Linked DNA regions of Arabidopsis thaliana. The protein of the gene in region 1 interacts with the protein of each later gene in a pairwise test. Each region holds a gene or a part of one and is shown on either strand. Other genes may lie near its edges. The genes, in order: AT2G27290, AST91, ZF14 and AT2G25310.

The links.
Region 2: the proteins of AT2G27290 (region 1) and AST91 interact in a protein complementation assay, tested with the Arabidopsis thaliana proteins (one large-scale study listed by BioGRID).
Region 3: the proteins of AT2G27290 (region 1) and ZF14 interact in a protein complementation assay, tested with the Arabidopsis thaliana proteins (one large-scale study listed by BioGRID).
Region 4: the proteins of AT2G27290 (region 1) and AT2G25310 interact in a protein complementation assay, tested with the Arabidopsis thaliana proteins (one large-scale study listed by BioGRID).

Annotation. Positions count from the first base shown.
Region 1 is NC_003071.7:11,677,776-11,681,820, reverse strand, and holds AT2G27290 (FAM210B-like protein, putative (DUF1279)), read left to right. Parts: upstream 1-1,901; 5' UTR 1,902-2,055; coding exon 2,056-2,292; intron 2,293-2,778; coding exon 2,779-2,976; intron 2,977-3,064; coding exon 3,065-3,235; 3' UTR 3,236-3,516; downstream 3,517-4,045. Other genes in the region: NTL8 (NTM1-like 8), read left to right, coding at 1-46, 120-373, 446-643, 1,030-1,404; AT2G27285 (nuclear speckle splicing regulatory-like protein (DUF2040)), read left to right, coding at 3,924-4,045.
Region 2 is NC_003070.9:8,184,420-8,190,879, forward strand, and holds AST91 (sulfate transporter 91), read right to left. Parts: upstream 4,816-6,460; 5' UTR 4,536-4,815; coding exon 4,287-4,535; exon of another isoform or gene 4,171-4,286; coding exon 4,122-4,170; exon of another isoform or gene 4,037-4,121; coding exon 3,829-4,036; intron 3,292-3,828; coding exon 3,120-3,291; intron 3,043-3,119; coding exon 2,977-3,042; intron 2,712-2,976; coding exon 2,598-2,711; intron 2,511-2,597; coding exon 2,394-2,510; intron 2,208-2,393; coding exon 1,603-2,207; intron 1,395-1,602; coding exon 1,309-1,394; intron 1,144-1,308; coding exon 1,067-1,143; intron 972-1,066; coding exon 819-971; 3' UTR 506-818; downstream 1-505. UniProt on the Arabidopsis thaliana protein: H(+)/sulfate cotransporter that may play a role in the regulation of sulfate assimilation.
Region 3 is NC_003070.9:21,651,214-21,655,986, forward strand, and holds ZF14 (MATE efflux family protein), read left to right. Parts: upstream 1-1,774; 5' UTR 1,775-1,948; coding exon 1,949-2,110; intron 2,111-2,467; coding exon 2,468-3,904; 3' UTR 3,905-4,226; downstream 4,227-4,773.
Region 4 is NC_003071.7:10,776,542-10,781,055, reverse strand, and holds AT2G25310 (ER membrane protein complex subunit-like protein (DUF2012)), read left to right. Parts: upstream 1-1,791; 5' UTR 1,792-1,932; coding exon 1,933-2,033; intron 2,034-2,223; coding exon 2,224-2,270; intron 2,271-2,467; coding exon 2,468-2,567; intron 2,568-2,809; coding exon 2,810-2,873; intron 2,874-2,965; coding exon 2,966-3,082; intron 3,083-3,184; coding exon 3,185-3,293; intron 3,294-3,525; coding exon 3,526-3,620; 3' UTR 3,621-3,988; downstream 3,989-4,514. Other genes in the region: AT2G25312 (ECA1 gametogenesis related family protein), read left to right, coding at 647-982.

The DNA.
Region 1 (4,045 bases):
ATTGCTGAGGTCGAGATTTACAAGTTCGAGCCGTGGGACTTGCCAGGTTTTACTTCGGTTTTCTTTCTCTTTATGTTTACTTTGGTTCACTAATTTGAATGTTTGTGCCTATAAAACAGAGGAATCGAAACTGAAATCGGAGAACGAGTGGTTTTACTTCTGCGCGAGGGGGAGGAAGTACCCGCACGGGTCACAAAGCCGGCGAGCCACACAGCTAGGATATTGGAAAGCGACCGGTAAAGAGCGGAGTGTTAAATCCGGGAACCAAGTTGTTGGAACCAAGAGAACGCTTGTATTTCATATCGGTCGGGCTCCTCGTGGCGAGAGAACGGAGTGGATTATGCATGAATACTGCATCCATGGAGCCCCACAGGTTCTTAAAACTTTCATTTTGAATAGGTTGAGTTTTAATGTTTTGAGATATATTGAAATTTGGATTTCACAGGATGCATTAGTGGTGTGCCGGTTAAGAAAAAATGCTGATTTTCGGGCTAGTTCGACCCAAAAAATGGAGGATGGTGTTGTGCAAGACGATGGCTACGTTGGCCAAAGAGGTGGTTTGGAGAAGGAGGACAAATCCTACTATGAATCTGAGCATCAGATACCAAATGGTGACATCGCAGAATCATCAAATGTTGTTGAGGTCAGCTTGCTTTTGAGGAATGTGTCTTTTAACGATGTTTAATACTGGTAAAATTATCCGCTCCAATCTTAATCGAAACCACATTAAATTCAATATAGTTCCGAAAACAGAACCGATTAAGAAACTAAAACCAAACCAACACCATAGTACCATACTATAACGGATTCATAGTACATTAGATTTCACTAAAGTTGTTATTTTACTAAAGCAGATTCTAAACTTAAAACGTAACAAACCAATATATCCAATGTTTGGTTTTTATTTTGGCTACTAATATTATAACTCAATAGACTAAACCAACACTTGGGCTGAACATCCTTAGTTTTCTTGTACTGGTAGAGTTTAGAGTTTGTAACTGAAGTTGATCTCTTTCTATTGCGATGCAGGATCAGGCCGATACCGATGATGATTGTTACGCCGAGATTCTGAACGATGATATAATAAAGCTCGACGAAGAAGCGTTGAAAGCTAGCCAAGCGTTTCGACCAACTAATCCAACTCATCAAGAAACAATATCAAGCGAGTCATCGAGTAAGAGGTCAAAATGTGGTATAAAAAAAGAATCAACGGAAACAATGAATTGTTACGCTTTGTTCAGGATCAAGAACGTTGCCGGAACCGACTCCAGCTGGAGATTCCCGAACCCGTTCAAAATCAAGAAAGATGATAGCCAGAGATTGATGAAGAATGTTCTGGCCACTACTGTTTTCTTGGCTATCTTATTTTCTTTCTTTTGGACTGTATTAATAGCTAGGAACTAAAGCTAGTTACGACATACATATTATTTATACATAAATAAATATAGTATTTGGTCTATGGCAATATGGCATGTTGAGCTAGTCTTAACAATTATTCAAACTTGTGTACAAACCAAAATTTTTATGGAAAAGAGAATATTTTCGGATAGTAAACCTTTATAATCTGGGTGAAAGCTTTGGGAAAGAGATGATAGTTCCGTGAAAATAGAGACAACAAATTTCACATATAGTAAATGTGAATAATACCACCATTTCCTTAAGTTTTGCTGTTTGTTGTATTAGAGATTGCAAAGTGATATTCTTAGTTATATACAATTGTAATAAATTATACAAAATCCATAAGTAAAATAAATTATTTTAGACTATGTTTAGATATACAAAAGTTTCAGTTCAAAATATAAACGCCTGAGAATCAAACAAATGTTGTTTGTAGTTTTTTATATTTATAAAATAGTCTAAAAATATTTTTCTTACTTATGGATTTTTTATACTATATTAAAGTTTTATATATGTAAAAGATTACTCTGGAACCTCTAATACAACAAATGGTATACCTTCAGAAAAAAATAAAAAATAATTGTGTGTCATACAATAAATAAAAATAATAAGGTGAAAAGATTTGCTTTCTGTTTTTTTTGGTGGCTGAAAAAAACAATGGCGATGATGCTTCTGCAAATTCCTCCTTCGTCTTCCTTGTTGAACACCAGAAACCTTCAAATCCGATTCTTCCACTCTTCAGTTTCAGCTTCCTCGAAGAAATTCAGATGCAGAGCCGTCCGTGAGAAGGCGGAGGACATTGATAAGAACATTTCGCCGCCGTCTTCTTCTCCTCCTCCTCCTTCCGCCGAAGAAGTTACCAAGAAATATGGCCTTGAAGTTGGTCTATGGAAGGTAAAATCAATTCGATTGCGCAATTTCTCGTTTTAATTCGTAATCTAAAATTGATGATTCTATCGCTATGGAAGCTTTAAGTGTAAGTAAAATAGTGTTTTTGGATGAACATGTGAGGACATATGATTGTTTCTGAGCTGAATGATAGGCTAATTCAGAGCAATTTTGGTATTAGTAGAAGCTATTGAAGCTTTAAGTGTAACTAAAATGGTGTTTTGTATGATTATGTGAGCAATTTTGTAGTTGTTGAAGCTATGGAAGCTTCTAAGGGTACTAAAATGGTGTTTAGATGATTATGTGAGTAGATATGATCGTTTTCGTGGTAGTTGTAGAAGTTATGTAAGCTTTTAACTATGCTAAAATGGTGTTTTTTTTTATCAACAAGTGAGCATATGTGATTGGTTAGTTTGGAGCATTTTTGGAAGTTGTAGAATCTATGGAAGTTTTTGTGTAGTAAAATGGTGTTTTGGATGGACTTGTGATTAGATATTAAGCTCTAAGGATGATGAAGGAAGTGATGGAGACAATAAGAAGAAGAAATCAAAAACAGATGAGGCTAAAGAGTTACTTGCAAAGTATGGTGGTGCTTATCTCGCTACATCTATTACTCTTTCTCTCATTTCCTTCTCACTCTGCTATGTCCTTGTGACTTCCGGTGTTGATGTTCAAGCTCTTCTTCTAAAGGTTACTACTTTCACTTCTTGATCATACTAAGTTTATGTTTTCTTGATCTTGGGTTGAGTAAAGCTGATTTTGATGTTTTGTGTTTAAGGTTGGGATTTCGACGAATGAGACAGGAGAGAAAGTAGGAGCCTTTGCTTTGGCTTACGCAGCGCATAAAGCTGCATCTCCGATAAGGTTTCCGCCTACAGTGGCTTTGACTCCTATTGTAGCCAATTGGATTGGGAAGAAAGTGGACAAGGAGAAGGATGATGACAAGTAGCTTACTTTGGAGGTATTATAATGTAGATGTTCTATATATTACTTGATAATCAACATACATAATCCTGTACAATCCTCACTTCTCTACCTTGTATGTACAAAAAAGATTGAAGCATATCTGAATATGATGATGAGTTAGAAAGATACAGAACCAAAGAGTGGCAGAATCCAAGTTGTGATATAGTTTTAGACTTGTCTATTTAATATGTGGTTGGTTGGAAATTACGACTTCACGATTCACTAACCTCTAGACATTTGGTAAGTGGGAGAAGTAGTTGTCAAATGGTTGGGAATGATCTCTGTGATCCAGAGCATATGACCTCGATCGTTTTGGTGATGCATTTTAACTTGTACTCTAGAACCTCATTATCTCGGCCCATCAAAATATGAAAACATTGGGCCGTAACAATTGGGCCGTAATCATCTATACCATCTATAGTTAATTGGATCTTTTTATCTCCTCCCTTCCTCTTTCACTTTCTTCCATGGATTACTAAATTCCTTAATCCTGGGAAAATCACACCAATCAACTTTTGTGAATTGTAACCCTAATCGATTCTACAGCGAAATCTACCTATTTCATGCTTGGGTTTGATTAGTGTTTTTCCAGAATCTGGGACTTCGCAGGAATTGCGCTAATTTTCAATCGATTTTGCAGAAGTTTGTTGCTCCTGGAATAGAAATCGAAGATGAAGAAGTACGGATTGCAAATCAGAGCTCCTTCCCAGAAAAAACAATCATCATCTCGACCTCCACTTCGACCCGCTTCAATATTTGATGAAGAAGAAGATCACGACGTCGAGAAGGAGAT
Region 2 (6,460 bases), on another chromosome or scaffold:
AGTGTAAAAGAATACCTTATGCCATATGGAAGACTGGAAGTCACAATGTTATCAAGATCTTTCCGCGACCGTATCAAGAATTGTTTTTTCCTAGAAGTCACAATGTTATCATAGCTTTGAATGAATTCGATTAACTTCAGAAATATTTTATCATTTCACAAAAGTAGTAACATCTTATTAAAAATATCTATTAGTTTATGTTATCAGTTCATTTCATCTTTTAATCTAGCTAAATTTTCAATTCGATTTGATTTATAGACCAGTTTTATTTTGAGATAAATTTCTTGCTTATAACGTTTACACAATTATAATCGCAGACACATAGCTGATTTGAAGTCTTCTTGAAAGCAATTGCTTCTTCGATTCATCCGCGTCGGTTTATCCCTCTTGACAATTACACATTGACTTTTGATATATAATGTAAGCTCTAACTTGGCAAAGTTCTTAACACAATTCTGCTCATGGTTTGGTCATATTTTCTAATATTATAAAACATAATTATCTTAAATAAAAATATTATTTTTATTTTTTTATTTAATCAGTTTATTTCATAAATAATTTGGATATACATCCGTTTGATCTAGCTAAGATATCAATTCGATTCTAGATCAATTTTATTCTCGGAGACTAAACATGGCCTAGTAAACTACAAAATGGCGAAATCATACAAACATATCTTGACCAAAATCATCACTGAAGAAAGAGAGAGAAGAACGTAATATTACATCTGTACTGAAATTAAAAGATGAAAAAGAGACAAAAAGAAAAATTTAACCATCGGTTAAATATCAATATTGGACCGATACAAAAAATTATAGTTAAACGTTACTGAGAGATGGCCCTTTAAGAGAGAGCGACGCAACGGCCTCAGCGACGGTTAAGAAGAGAAACTCGGGCCTCATGAACTCTTTTTGTTCGTCAGCTCTTTGAAGCTTCTCCACCACTTCGCTTAGAGGGTTCACAAACACAAGCTTCACACATAAAATAAATATCCAGTTTAGATCAAAATCTAATTAGTTTCCTTGGATAAGTGACAAAATCGGATTGTGAAAACAACTATTTTTACCTCGATGTCCTTCTTGGCGGTTGTTTTCTTAAGTTCCTTAAAAAAGGACACTCCGTTTGTGTCTACACCGCTCACGGCTTTAACATATATAAAAGCAAAGTTAGCTAGTTGAAATATATTGGTTTTCTTGAGTTTTATGGTTTTGCATTAGAAAATTAAAACTAATTAGCAATGAGTGAATTTGCCTTTAAGTCTAATCACATTTCCTATACGGGTTTCTAATAGATTCTATCAAGACTAACCTGACATTTCAAGAATCAAGAACTGTAGGCTAGAATGCTTCTCTTGAGCTTCCTCTTCTTCGCATTCTTCAATCCAACGAGATGTTCTACAAAAAATTTATGCAACACAAAAGCAGAGAATGTTAGTAAATGAAACATAGCTATTAAGAAATGTGGTGTTGACAAAAAAAATGTATTAAGAAATGTGGTTACAATCTAATAAACATCAGGGTTCATAAACATTTAAGAGATCAAAGTCTAATGTATCCGAACTTCCAAAATCTATATAGAAAGGATCGTAGTTTCATAGCTAACCTTTCAGTGAGGTAGTTAGAATTGGCGAAATTGACAGGAGATTCGATGCTTAAAACAAGAAATCCCGGGATCCTTTGTGCTTCTTTGTAATGATGAAGATCTCGGTATATATCCGTTCCAGGAATATTACCCATTATAACCATTTTCGGCCTTGTTACTTGCATCAATATCTTGAACAACGATAGCCCCACCGCAATGGCTAGACCGTTTTGAACGGATAGGAAAATGACACCAAAGAACGCGCAAAGCATCACCAAGAAATCAAATTTATCGATCTTCCATATGTGACAGGCCGCGGGAAGGTCGATGAGACCAATGACCGCGGTCACAATGATGGCACCGAGGACCACATTGGGAGTGTATTCGAAAAGCGGCATTAGGAAGAGAAGCGTAACCATAACAGTGACCGACATAACAATGTTTGAAACTGCGGTTTTAGCTCCCGCGTTGTTGTTGACCGCTGATCTAGAGAATGCTCCGGTTGTGACGTAGCAAGATGTGGCAGAGCCTACTACGTTCATCAGACCAATGGCGATCATCTCTTTGTTTCCATCTACGTGGTAGTTCTTTAGCGCTGCAAATGTTCTTCCCACTGCGATTCCTTCCTGTTCAAGTAATAGCTAGTTAGGTGTGAGGATTATTTCAATCTCTACTTTCTTTTTTTTCTTTTTTTGCATAGACAATAAAAAGGTTTTTTATGGAAAAATAAAAGCTGATTTGTATTACGAAAATGTGATAAATTTATTTCTCACGTAAAAGTTGCGTTTGAAAAGAATAAAAAAAAACTATACCGTGAGGGAGACGATTCCGGTGACGAGTCCGGTTTTGGCGACGAGTGCGAGATGACTACCGTGAAACTGAAGCATGTTCCAAGACGGTGGATTCAAACCTTCTGGTAATTTCCCGATCTATCAACAAATTAATCCTAGATTTCAAAAATTCTGCAAAACAAAGAAACAAAAACAGAGAATTGGTTTAGGTAAGAGGAAACTTACGACGCTGATTCCGTGACGCTCGGCTCTGAAAACAAAGACAAGAAGTGTAGAGACGATAACGGAAAGAAGTGGTGCTCCGGCTGAGACCCAAAACAGCTTCGGCTTCTTCATGCTCTGCGTTAAATTTCCATTCTTATTATTACTTAAGAGGAAACCAGATCAAAGTATGTAATAGCTATTTAAGTCATTAAATTAATTATATATTTAACTTTTTGATGAAATAACAATTTGTTTTTCTACTCCAAAACAATTAGTTCGTTATTTATGGCGGGAAGAACGTATAGAGAGAAACAATGACGGTCCATCGTAACAAATGTTGTACATGCATATTGAGGGAGAATGAAAATGATAAATGAATAGTGAGAGGTAAGCAACATACGAGGTGACGTGTCGAGAGCAAGAAGAGCAAGAAGCAAACTCCCATCACAATTGTTTGCCATGACCACTGTATAATAGTAACATTGTAAATAAAATTGACTAAAATACAGGAATTAGGAAAAAGAAGAAGAAGAGAAATTAAACCTCGTTGGTGTGTTGGAAAACAGAGGAGAGAACAGGGACTACACTCATATGCTTTGTGAAATGAGTTATCCCAAGCAGACCCTTTAGCTGTTGGAGTGATACAATTATGGCTGCTCCACCCATAAACCCTATTAGCGTCGCTTTTGATAGAAAGTCTATTATAAATCCCAGCCTACATATTAAAAAATAAATACAGTTAACACAATGTCTCTTTTTCTTAAACAACATCTTCTCCATTGCCACTTGGTGGTGCAATTACTCTTTTTTGTTTGATCATGAATTATTTTATATTTGTGTTAGAATACACATTAATATTTCTTAGAACATTTTATGAAAATATTTATTTTTCACTAGTGATAGAATAATAATATATGATTGATTAATGATTATTTATCACTTTTTCTAAAAAGCTTATTATATTTTGGACTAGGGTCAATAATGATAATTGTCTAGTAAATATGTACTACCCAAACATTAAACCTGAAAACAATCTTAACTTTGTTTTCTAATCTTGAAAAGCAATTAATATAAGCACCGACGACATTTAACATTTAGTAATACTAGCGTGTACATGTAACCCTACAGACTGCCACTAGCCTAGCACAGGCCCAATATTGACCTCACATAACACACTATATTTCAACAGATATAAATCATGGTTCATGCAAAGCTACAAAAAACTTTTTAGGTAAATATATAAATTTATAACCTGAGGATTCCAAGAGAGGCTTGAAAGAGACCAGCAAAGAAGGTAGAAGAGAAGGCTAGCTGTAGAAAGAGAACAGGATCGTCTACGGGAGATACTTGTTGCCTTAGCATGGATCCTAAGATTAACGACGCTATGGAGACTGGTCCCACTGCTAGATCTCTTGAGCTTCCCAAGACCGCATAAACCAACGGTGGCACGAAGCTCGAGTCTACACATACATCAACACACGTGTTTATGTAACGGTCTATAATGTTTCATGTATATTCTATTCAATTTTACTTTCAGATTCTTACATAGACCAACGATTGGTGGCAAATTTGCTAGCTTCGCGTAACTAATCCCCTGTTTTTATGAAAACCAAGAAGACGAAGATTATAATCAAGAATTGCATAAAATGGTGGTCGTTATTGATCGGAACGTGAAAATGGGTCGTCGTCGGATTTTTGATACGTACGTACCTGAGGAATAGCTAAACTAGCGATGGTAAGACCTGAAACGACGTCGGATTTGAGTAGGCTGAAGCTGTACTCAGGACACCATTGGAGGATTGGAAAAATGTATTGAGCGGCGCGTATGAGCTTGGTACGGTTTGGTTGTCCTCTGAACTGTCTTAAGGGATCGTCCGGGAAGAAAGTCTCCTTCAGTTTTGTCTTTAGCTTTGCCACCGTGCTCTTATGCGGCGGAGCAACCACCTTGTGCACCTCCATTAATTGGTTTTCCTAAGAATTTTTGTCACCAATGTGTGATGTTTCCTCTCTTGGCTCTTTGCTGATAATTTAAACATGAGTATTATTTCGGGTCGGTCTTTACATTTTATAATGGTCTTATCTTGGCCTATCTTTTATTTTTGATATGAAAAAAAAAAAAATTCGGAAAGTTACACGTATACTGTTGTCTCTGTATTTTTTTTTTGTTTTGTAATTTGAGCCGATAATCCGTTGTGAATTTCTCTTTTTTTTTTTTGTTGGCGTTTGTCTATTATTTACCCTATGAATATTGATTCGTGTAAAAAAAAAAAACTGATTCGTGTCTATGCTCCAAATCTTTCACATTTTCTATGTTCGATTAAAGATGAAATACATAAGAAAAACATAATATTTTAATTAAAACATTCGCGCGCCACCTTGAGAACTTGTAATAATGCATATATAGCTATGACGTATTTAAGTGGTTGTAAAGACAAAAAACAAAAACAGAGTTTTATAATTATGATCACTGGTATGGTAGATGCATAGTTTTGTGAAGCGACTGACAAATAGAACATTTTAGTTGAATGATTTTATTTTTGTAGAAAATAATATAACAACAACTAATTAGTATCTTTTTTATTAAGTACGATAAGTACTAATTATAACACTATATATATATTTGTAACCATAATTTTTTTAACATTCTTAGTTTCCAAAATTTTAAAATGCAAGAACCTCAGTACAACGTTTTCTCCGTATTTAGTTGATGTTAATGTTATAGTAGGAAAAAATGTTCTAAATTAGATGATGTTTTTAATTTTTAATGCAATATTAATTAGTTTTTTTTTATTGGTTTTGATGATTTATAATATACAGATAATTTTTTCTATTGGTTAATTAGATAAATTGATGTTTAAAAAAATAAAATTAAAAATGATTCAATCGGTGTACAAAAACTTTAAACACCAAGTAAAAAGACACGAAGATAGTACTATAATACTATGAATAATAAATAAATGGGTGAATCTATATATACATTTTTGCAGCCATTTTGTGAAATAAATCCTGGAGTTGGAACTTATTTACAAAGGCTGCCACTGACTTTTAATTATTAGTTTTTTAGCAATAAATTGATTAACAAACGAAAAACATTCTAAATATATTCCAATCCCATATATCACGCAGATTTTTCCAAAATTTAAACTAAATTTCGGCAACTAATTAAAACAAAAAATGTTTGACAACCCAAAAGACAATTGCAATCCCTTAAAATGAGCAAAACGCAACTAAATACATTTTTTATCAATTCACTAAATCTTATTTCTTCAAAATTTGAACTAGATTTCGACAACTATTTAAAACAAAATTTTGTTTGACAAACTAAAACACAATTGCAATCCCGTAAAATATTTATTTTAATTATAAATTTAAATTAGCGGGGTACCGCGAGCTTTTTTTACAGGACGGGTTTGGCGGAACGGGTTTGGAAGGACGTTACTTAATAACAATTGTAAACTATAAAATAAAAATAATTTATAAATAGATATAATTTGCAAAATTTTTATATATATTAACTTAAAAAAATAAATTATCTCCGCGGTGTACCGCGGATTAAAATCTAGTTACATATTAAAAACATAACAACTAAGAAAATTTGAGTATCAATAATGCATAACTATCTGTTCATGTACCCGTTGAGATCGCTAACAAACAGAGAGACGATCAGACGACCAACTAGCTAGTCTACAGTAGGAGTTGTTAGTTGTTACATTGACCCGGACAAAAAATGTTGATGATTTTAGACTTATCGTCTTTGGCTAAAGATATTAATACATATCTATATAACATATTTATATATATGGATATAATGTCTGATCTTGCATCAACAATTATCCAAGATAATTGATTAACACTAAAATTAACAGCGGTTGAAAAACTGTATA
Region 3 (4,773 bases), on another chromosome or scaffold:
AATGCTGATCTACCGATAACGGTTTTGATCCTTTTCACGCCAAATTTTATAGAAAATGATCATATGCCAAAAACATATACAACAAATGAAATTGCATGTTGTGGTAAAATATTGATACAACGTTTTAATTAATTGTAATCATTTGATAGAAAACAAGCTATTTTAACATTAATAAGTTATATATAATAAATAAGTTACTATTAATATTTTACATTTACTTTTATAAAGATTTATTTATTTTAAATAGTTTTTAGGTTTCATGGTATGGTGGCAATGAACATGCTTTCAAGCCATTTTCTGCATAATAGTGTTTAACATTACATTACATTACATATATTCATTAAACCTAAATGTTAAAATTATATATGCTAAAGTTGCAATAGACATGCAATTTGAAATTGGAAGAAAATGCTAAATTAAATCTCATGCCATTTTACAGCATAATTTGATATTTTAGACATAGGAAAAACTTAAATTTTATCTTGATTGACTAGGAAAACTTAAATTAACCGTTAGTGCAAAAAAAGAAAGGATTATCTTCACAGAAAGTATATAGACTAATCTAGTGCAGTTTCCTGTTTGACATCATTACACCTAACCTTAAAATTTTCGGAGTTATAAAATAGGACCGACCTCTGTTTCTAAATGTTTCAGCGGAATTAAAGAAAAACAAAATGGCATAAAATTTGTAATTGTGTCACAAATCACAAATGATATAAAATTTCATTTTTTATCAAAAAAAAAGAAAAAAAAAGAAAAAAGAAGGAAAAAAAAAAAGAGAGAGGCAAAATTGGCATATTAATAGGACCGACCTTAGTTGGTTTTGTTTGTTTTTAATATTTGCTATGGAGTATGTGTTTTAGCAAAAACAAATCATAAATGTATATACATTGTTAAGTGTATAAAAATTGTAAATCCGTAAAATTTGAGTCAAATAGCATACAATATCTATAAATGCCATAAAAATGTAAAATTCATTTAATTATAAATCTAAATCCTAACTACTATTATATAAATCCAAACCGATATATAATCTCGTTTAATTAGAAAATTTAAAACCTTTATTATCTTTTATAAACCTAAATCAATATTTAAACTTGTTTAATTGTAAAATTTAAATCTGTTTATAAACTCAAACCGATATTCAATCTCATCAATCATAAAATTGAAATCTTAACTTTTTCTTATAACTGATATATAATTTTTTTATGGCAAATTATATTTTCTAATTAAATTAATTTAATATTATTTATTAGGTGGTAGATTTTGATTGGCTAGAATAAAAAAGTTCACCCAAGTATTTTTCAAAACAAGTACTAACCCCATCAACTTATGTGACCAACCGTTATTGAATAAATGCTTTTTATCCTCTCAGCCTAAGAGGTAACAACAGCCTGATATTCTAGCACTTAGGACGACTGTGAATTCGCCAGCCGACATAACCGAAAGAGTTCAATATATAGTGAAGCCCAAAGTTGAGTTAAAGATTAGGAAAGAGATTTGCTATTATTAAAGGTAATGCGATGTATTTTAAAATAGTTAACTAAACCAATTTTTATGTCTTTCTTCAAAAGTGAACTCTTGAGCTATCCTAAACCTGTGTGTCGTTCTTCTCACAGACTTATTTGGTGGACACACGATTTGTTTAGTCAAAGCAAACAAAAAAAGTCCCACTTCCCTATTAGAAAATCAATTCTTTGTTAAAAAGAAATTAAAACTAATTTTCGCCACGTGTAGAAACGATATCGCTTCTTTACAACTATAAATAGTCAGCCTTTCTCCTCCAAAAGGCCCAACCAATTCCATATTAAAAATATTAGTTCCTCTCGGTTCCTTTTATCATTTGCATAAAATCGTTTTGCCTCCAAAAGACTAAAAGCTCTAGACTTTGTCTCTTTGTCCTTTTATCTCTACTCCCAACAAAACCAGTTTACTCCTCTTAAGAATCATGTGTAATTCAAAACCATCTTCTGCTTCATCTTCCTTATTATCTTGTAAAGACAAAACCCATATCTCAAAACTCGAAACCTGTGATACAGATAATCCTCATTATTCTGAATTCAGGGATACTGATTCTCTAGACCTTAAAAGATGGCCAAGTTTTCTGGAGGTAAATTATTTCTTTTTTTTTCCTATACGTAAATGTTTGTTTTTTTCTACATAGATATGAACATAATAATTCAAGAATCTAGTTCTTGACAAAACTAGATTGTACGAACTATACCAAAAGCATATATACATATACATATATATAAATAGAAACAACAGTTTCGCAATCCTTTTTATATATATACCTAAATCTTTGGTCCCGGTTGGTGATTTGGTTTTGTCATTTTTTTATAAAGGTTTAAGATAAGCTTTATTTGATTAATATAATTAACCATTAACCAGGGAAAAGAAAAAAACGATCTACTGACGTGGACGGTTCTTGGTCTTGACTTTTCTTTTCTTAATTATCTGGCGGCAGGGCTTAGAGGAAGTGAAGGCGATCGGAAAAATCTCTGGGCCGACGGCGATGACCGGGCTTCTTATGTACTCAAGAGCGATGATATCGATGCTGTTCTTAGGCTACCTCGGTGAGCTTGAGTTAGCCGGAGGATCTCTCTCCATAGGCTTTGCCAATATCACCGGCTACTCCGTCATCTCCGGTTTGTCCATGGGGATGGAACCAATCTGTGGCCAAGCATACGGAGCTAAACAAATGAAGCTTTTAGGACTAACCCTTCAAAGAACCGTCCTCCTACTCCTCTCCTGCTCGGTCCCTATCTCCTTCTCGTGGCTCAACATGCGCCGAATCCTCTTATGGTGCGGCCAAGATGAAGAGATCTCCTCTGTTGCTCAACAGTTCCTTCTATTCGCCATCCCTGACCTCTTCCTTCTCTCTCTGCTTCACCCTCTTCGAATTTACCTCCGAACACAAAACATTACATTGCCCGTGACTTACTCCACGGCCGTGTCCGTTCTCCTCCACGTTCCTTTGAACTACCTCCTAGTGGTGAAACTTGAGATGGGAGTAGCGGGAGTCGCTATAGCTATGGTTTTGACAAATCTCAACCTTGTAGTCCTCTTATCCTCTTTTGTGTATTTCACTAGCGTGCATAGTGATACATGGGTCCCAATTACTATTGACTCTCTTAAAGGTTGGTCGGCTTTGCTCTCACTTGCCATACCCACTTGTGTATCTGTTTGTTTGGAGTGGTGGTGGTACGAGTTTATGATCATTTTGTGTGGACTTTTGGCTAACCCAAGAGCCACCGTGGCTTCCATGGGAATCTTGATCCAAACGACGGCTTTGGTCTACGTCTTCCCATCCTCTCTCAGCCTTGGTGTCTCTACAAGAATTAGCAACGAGCTTGGGGCTAAACGTCCGGCGAAAGCTCGGGTATCCATGATCATCTCACTCTTCTGCGCGATCGCCTTAGGCCTAATGGCGATGGTGTTTGCTGTGCTGGTTAGGCACCATTGGGGACGCTTGTTTACCACGGATGCAGAGATTCTTCAGCTGACTTCCATCGCATTACCCATTGTGGGGTTATGTGAGCTCGGAAACTGTCCTCAAACAACCGGTTGTGGGGTTTTAAGAGGCTGTGCAAGACCTACACTTGGTGCCAACATAAACTTGGGTTCATTTTACTTTGTGGGCATGCCAGTCGCTATTCTGTTTGGGTTTGTTTTCAAACAAGGGTTTCCAGGTCTCTGGTTCGGGTTGCTTGCAGCTCAAGCAACTTGTGCTTCTCTCATGTTGTGTGCACTTTTGAGAACAGATTGGAAAGTCCAAGCCGAGAGAGCTGAAGAGCTGACGTCACAAACTCCCGGAAAGTCTCCGCCCCTTCTCCCCATCGCAAGCTCAAAGAGCCGGTCTACCTCCGGTACAGAAGATATGATGAGAACCATGTTGGTTTAGATTGATAGCTATTCTCTGGAGGCATTTGCCATCAACATTGACGTACATATATGTTCTTGTCATCATTTTTTGGAGTTTATAGTGCTCCTTAATTTCTACTTTTTGATTTAAGAACGACTTTGTTTTGTGGGCTTTAGTGGTGTTTGTGTTATTTATGGTTGTATTGGTGTGATAGTTCTAATTAGCTTTGACTTCAGCAGTTTGTATTTTATGTGTTCCCTTTTGTAATAACTCGTGGTTTGATTATCTTTATATATTTGTCCATTTTCTAGGAGAATGTGAATTTTTTTTGTTAAACTAAGAATAAATTTATTTTATTTTATTTTTGTCACAAAAACTAAGTATAAATCAAAATGAAAAATTTAACCTCAATACAACTTTAATATATATATATATATATATATATATAAAAAGATTCCAAGATACTAGACGTGTCTAGGCCATTGAAATCTAGAGAAAGACCATACTAGTAGATCAAACCTAATGGCCGAAGACAATCAGAATAACTAAGGATACAGTAAAAATGTTCCATAATAGGTTAATTTTTTTGCAATTTATTTTGTATTCGTATTTGTGTTGTGAAAGCTTTGCTTATTTAACAATCAATTCTTTTCTTAAGGACAGGCAAGATGAATGTTTTATTTTTGAGCTTTTGGTGGTTCCATGTTCCATAAAAGGAAATTATATTCGTAGCCAAAAATGGAAAACAATTTCCTTTAATTCTATCATATTCTTTGTCTCAAAGCCATTGAGATTCGATACGTTTTAAAATTTAATTGAGATCACATTTATTTTGATTTTGGTTGTTTCCTTTGAGCAGAGAGAAAGCATCTTTTCTTTTATGTATACTTTTTTTTGTCCTGGGACCA
Region 4 (4,514 bases), 900 kb from region 1:
ACTAGCTATACATGATCATCATGATCACAATCATTAGCTTTTTTTTCGTCTATTCACCACCTCACAATTTTGTGATTTGTTTCACTTGGGTTTAAATGGGGCTTAATCATAATGTTAAAACAAAATTGCCTAATAACATTGGAGTGGAATGTTACATATTAGTTATTTATTTGTTTATCATTTTGTTAGAATATTTTTCGGTTTTATTGAAAATAATATATAAGATATATTTTCTTATTATTAAAAACATATATTTTCAAAATATAATCTTCGATAAAATTGTAATAAATTTTTTTAAAAAGAAAAGGATTTTTTTTTTTTTTGTAAAAGTATGTAAATGGAATATATAGTTACCCTTAGTATACATAAAATTGTCAAAAATGGTTAACGCAATACTTCTGACCAAAAAAAGAAATTGATTCATTACATTGTATTTCTATTTTTATTTAGTAAATACATTGTATTCTTTTTCTCAGGAACATACAATTTTTGAAGGCAACTATCACATGCATGTACACAATCTTTTTTAAAAAGCAATATATATCGTTTAGCAAGAAGTTTTATAACCATAAATGTATATAAATACTATAAACAATGTAGCAGTACCGATCACAATATAAAATACAAGTTTTACAAACATTTAATAATGGGTGAGAGCATACAAAGAGTGTGTGCGTCTATCTTAACGGTGATGGTTGTGATGTTATCACTTCTTGAAGATACTAAAGGTAATAATGATTTTGCAATGGCTCCAATTTCAGAGAATGGGTTGCTACCAAATCCAATGGCTTGTGTGAAAGATGCAGGAAAAATTCCAGATTGTGTAGAGGCAATGAAACAAGGTTATTTAAAAGATATAACAAAAGAGTGTTGCTTTATTCTACTTAGTCTTCCCGAAGATTGTTTTGGGATTCTATTTCCTATGCGTTTATACTATCGTATCGTACTTAAGGTTACATGCAAATTATTAGGCATTTTTTAATCACAATTTTTTCAATCATTAGATATTTCTTTTCATGTAACGGTAATTTATTATTAAGATTTATAATAAAATCATCGTTCTTTTAGTGATTTATTAATTATTACCTAAATGATTATACTATAAGTAAGAAATAATATGTGTTGGCTATACTAACTAAAAATTGGACTAGTGATTGTGAGGCCCTTAGTGAGTAGATTAACGAGAAAATGATATTTTCATGCATATACAATTTACAAAGCGTGTTTTCCTACTTTTACAAACACATATGATCAATTCATACCCAAACTACACAAAATTCAAGTTATATATCATTCTAATTTATTAGTCAACCATTACGGTTGCTCAGTCTGCTAACATGTATCTCATGATGTTGCTTAAAACGACATCGTTTTGTTTGTTAGAGCTGAAATTTTATAAACTGTATTTGGTTGACTAACATTCATTAATTATGATTCTAAATTATGTTCTAAATGTGAGTTTGGGTATAAAATTCAAATATTTGTGTAATTTCGATATGAATTATCTTAAGTGTTTGTACATATAAAAAAAAAACACATTTTACAAATTATACATGTAAGAAAATACACTTTACAAATTACACAGGTATGAAAATTATACACTTAATATAGAACAACAACAATTTTGGGGTGAAAATGTAGACTGTCTAAGTGCAAATTGGATCGCATTTTAGCAAACGAAACTAAGTATATAGAATTGTAGATTCCGGTTTAGAGACGAAAAAAAAAAAATCCGGTTTAGAACATCGACCAAATAGGGTTAAGTTAACTGAACTTTTCAGGGTAAAAAAAGTAAAATAAAATAAAATTAAACCAGTACCTTCTCAGTTATCCAGAAGGTTTTGATTTGGTTTTCCTTAACATCCTTCGTCGCCGGAATTTGACGACTAATATCAGACTTCATCAGCTTACGTCGATCTACGTACGACGGCTATGACGATGACGTCGATCATCAGATCCAGTCCTACTCTCGCTTTCATCGTCTTACAGATTTGCTTCATCTTCTTTGCTTCCACTTTCCCTTGCTCTTCTGGGTAAGTAAATCGTTCTCTGTCTTTGATTTCTCTGCTAAATCATCTCAATTATCTAGTCGATGCAATTTCCTGCGAATTTCTTCTGTTGATAATTTGTCTCAATTTGATGATTTAGTTGCTTGCCGAGTTCAGTACTTTGATTTTTTGGAGATCCGAGAATTTATTTCTCTTTGTGTGGTTTATTGTGCAGGTCTGAGGATAGTTACACCATTACTGGTAGAGTCAAGATTCCACCAAGTAGGTTTTAACTTTTCCCTTCTTCTCTCTTTGGGATCTTCCCAAAGATTACTTTACCTTTACGGTTCCAACAATCAGTTCCTAATCTAAAAAGTGATGTGTAGTCTGTTTTGATGTTTTGAATGATGAAATTTGACTGCTTCATGTTTATTCTGAATGTTAAACTCTGTTGAACTGATCTACAAGTTATTTCGTAGGCAACGTGATTGGTCACATAGCAAAGTTCTCAAATGTCAAAGTTATACTCAATGGTGGACAGAAGATTACGTTTCTCAGGCCTGATGGATACTTTACTTTGTATCCTTTTGATCCTTCTGTTATTAAAGTTTCTTTTGAGTATATTATTACTCACAGTAGCTGATGATTGGTTTCTTACTTGCCTTTGATATATGCCAAAAGAAATCATGTTCAGTATTGGCTTGTTATAAATGTTGCTAGAAATAGATCAGGAGAACTAAATACCTTTATGGTTTCATGAAAAGAAGAGTAGTGGAGATGATTCTTACTTTTTGCGGTCCTTGACTAATTGGTTTGTAAAGTCATGAAGTGCCTGCTGGGACTCATTTGATTGAAGTATCAGCAATGGGTTACTTCTTTTCTCCGGTAAGTTTTTATGTGTTGCTATTAATGGTTTCCAAAACTGCAGTTTTGTAAGAATGTGTTGCTCATGCAATGATGGATAACCAAATTCTTAGGTACGAGTAGATGTTAGTGCTCGGCATCGTGGCAAGGTTCAAGCAACACTAACAGAAACCAGGAGGAGTCTTACTGAGCTGGTTTTGGAGCCATTGAAGGAAGAGCAATATTATGAGGTGAGACTTCACATGACTCTTTTCATTATTTGTTTTGCATGTGCTTCTACACATCTGTTTTTTTCTTTCTTTAATCTGATTTGGTCATGTAAAATACTACAGATTCGAGAGCCTTTCAACATTATGTCGATCGTGAAAAGTCCAATGGGTCTCATGGTGGGATTCATGGTCGTTGTTGTGTTCCTAATGCCCAAATTAATGGAAAACATAGGTACGCTTCTATTACCCTCGAAATGTAGGAGTTCACTATGAGCCAACAGATTCATCTTCCGTGTTTTACTTGTAAACAATTCGACTATGGATTTGATGGACATTTGATGTTCCTTATCACATTTCACCAATCTAGGAGCTTTTAGAGCTCTTGAACTGGTTGGTGGATTGCAAGTTAAGAAGAGTTAGTCATCGTTTGCTGATGAACACACCTAAAATGTTTTCGTAAACAGATCCAGAGGAGATGAAGCAAGCACAAGAGGAAATGAGGAGACAAGGCGTGCCTTCGCTCACAAGCTTGTTACCAGGCGCTGGGGCTAGCCGCTAAGAGTTCCTCGGTTAACTCAATGTATCACAAAAGGAATGAAGAGAGATTTCTCAGTGATCTGAGTGAGTTTGGTTGTTCATCTGCAAGTGATGATTTATTAAAGTTCTCCTTTTGAGTATCTGATATGTATAGTCAACTTGTTTCTAAAACCAGAAATGGTCATCTTATTGTTTGTCCTCGACGTCAACTTGTGCTTATGATATGTAACATTATTTTATTTTTTTATTTTGGCTTTGAAATATTAAACTTGGGAACAAGGAGAGCTCGTTTGGTATCTTTCTAATCGGGTGTAACATCATGTTTCATCTATATAGAAAAAGTTTTATACATTCTCACTTTTAACATTTTGATACTATTATAAATATTTTGGATGATTTCATTTTTTCATCATAACTCTTCATTCGTTTTACTTATAACTATTTTGCATCCTTCTATTTATTAATTGGAGGATTGTGTCTCTTAATCATTACTTTTTGTATTGTATTCGCATAATCTTTCATTACAAATGGGTTGCATTACTTGAGTTTTGTCCATTTATCATAATTCTTCATGATACATATAATAACAATAGAACCTCTTATTTTATAAAAAATCATGTCTTGTACATTTTTTCACCTCTATGCAAATTTTAATATCAGTTGCTCGTGGATAAATCCTCATAGGTAGATGTGTCGAACGGCCGGCCCGCTTTAATCTGGATCGGCCTGCAATAGGCATCTGTTTTTGTAAGATTGCAACGGGCTGGCCCGCTAAGATTACGATTGACGAATTTAATGCATTTATTGTATTCTTAAATATGTAAAAATGTTTGAGGAATAGACAATTTAATACATTCTTTCTTATAAAAATAAAAATCCGAATAAATGTGTTTTGCAGTTCTGAACATTTGTGTCT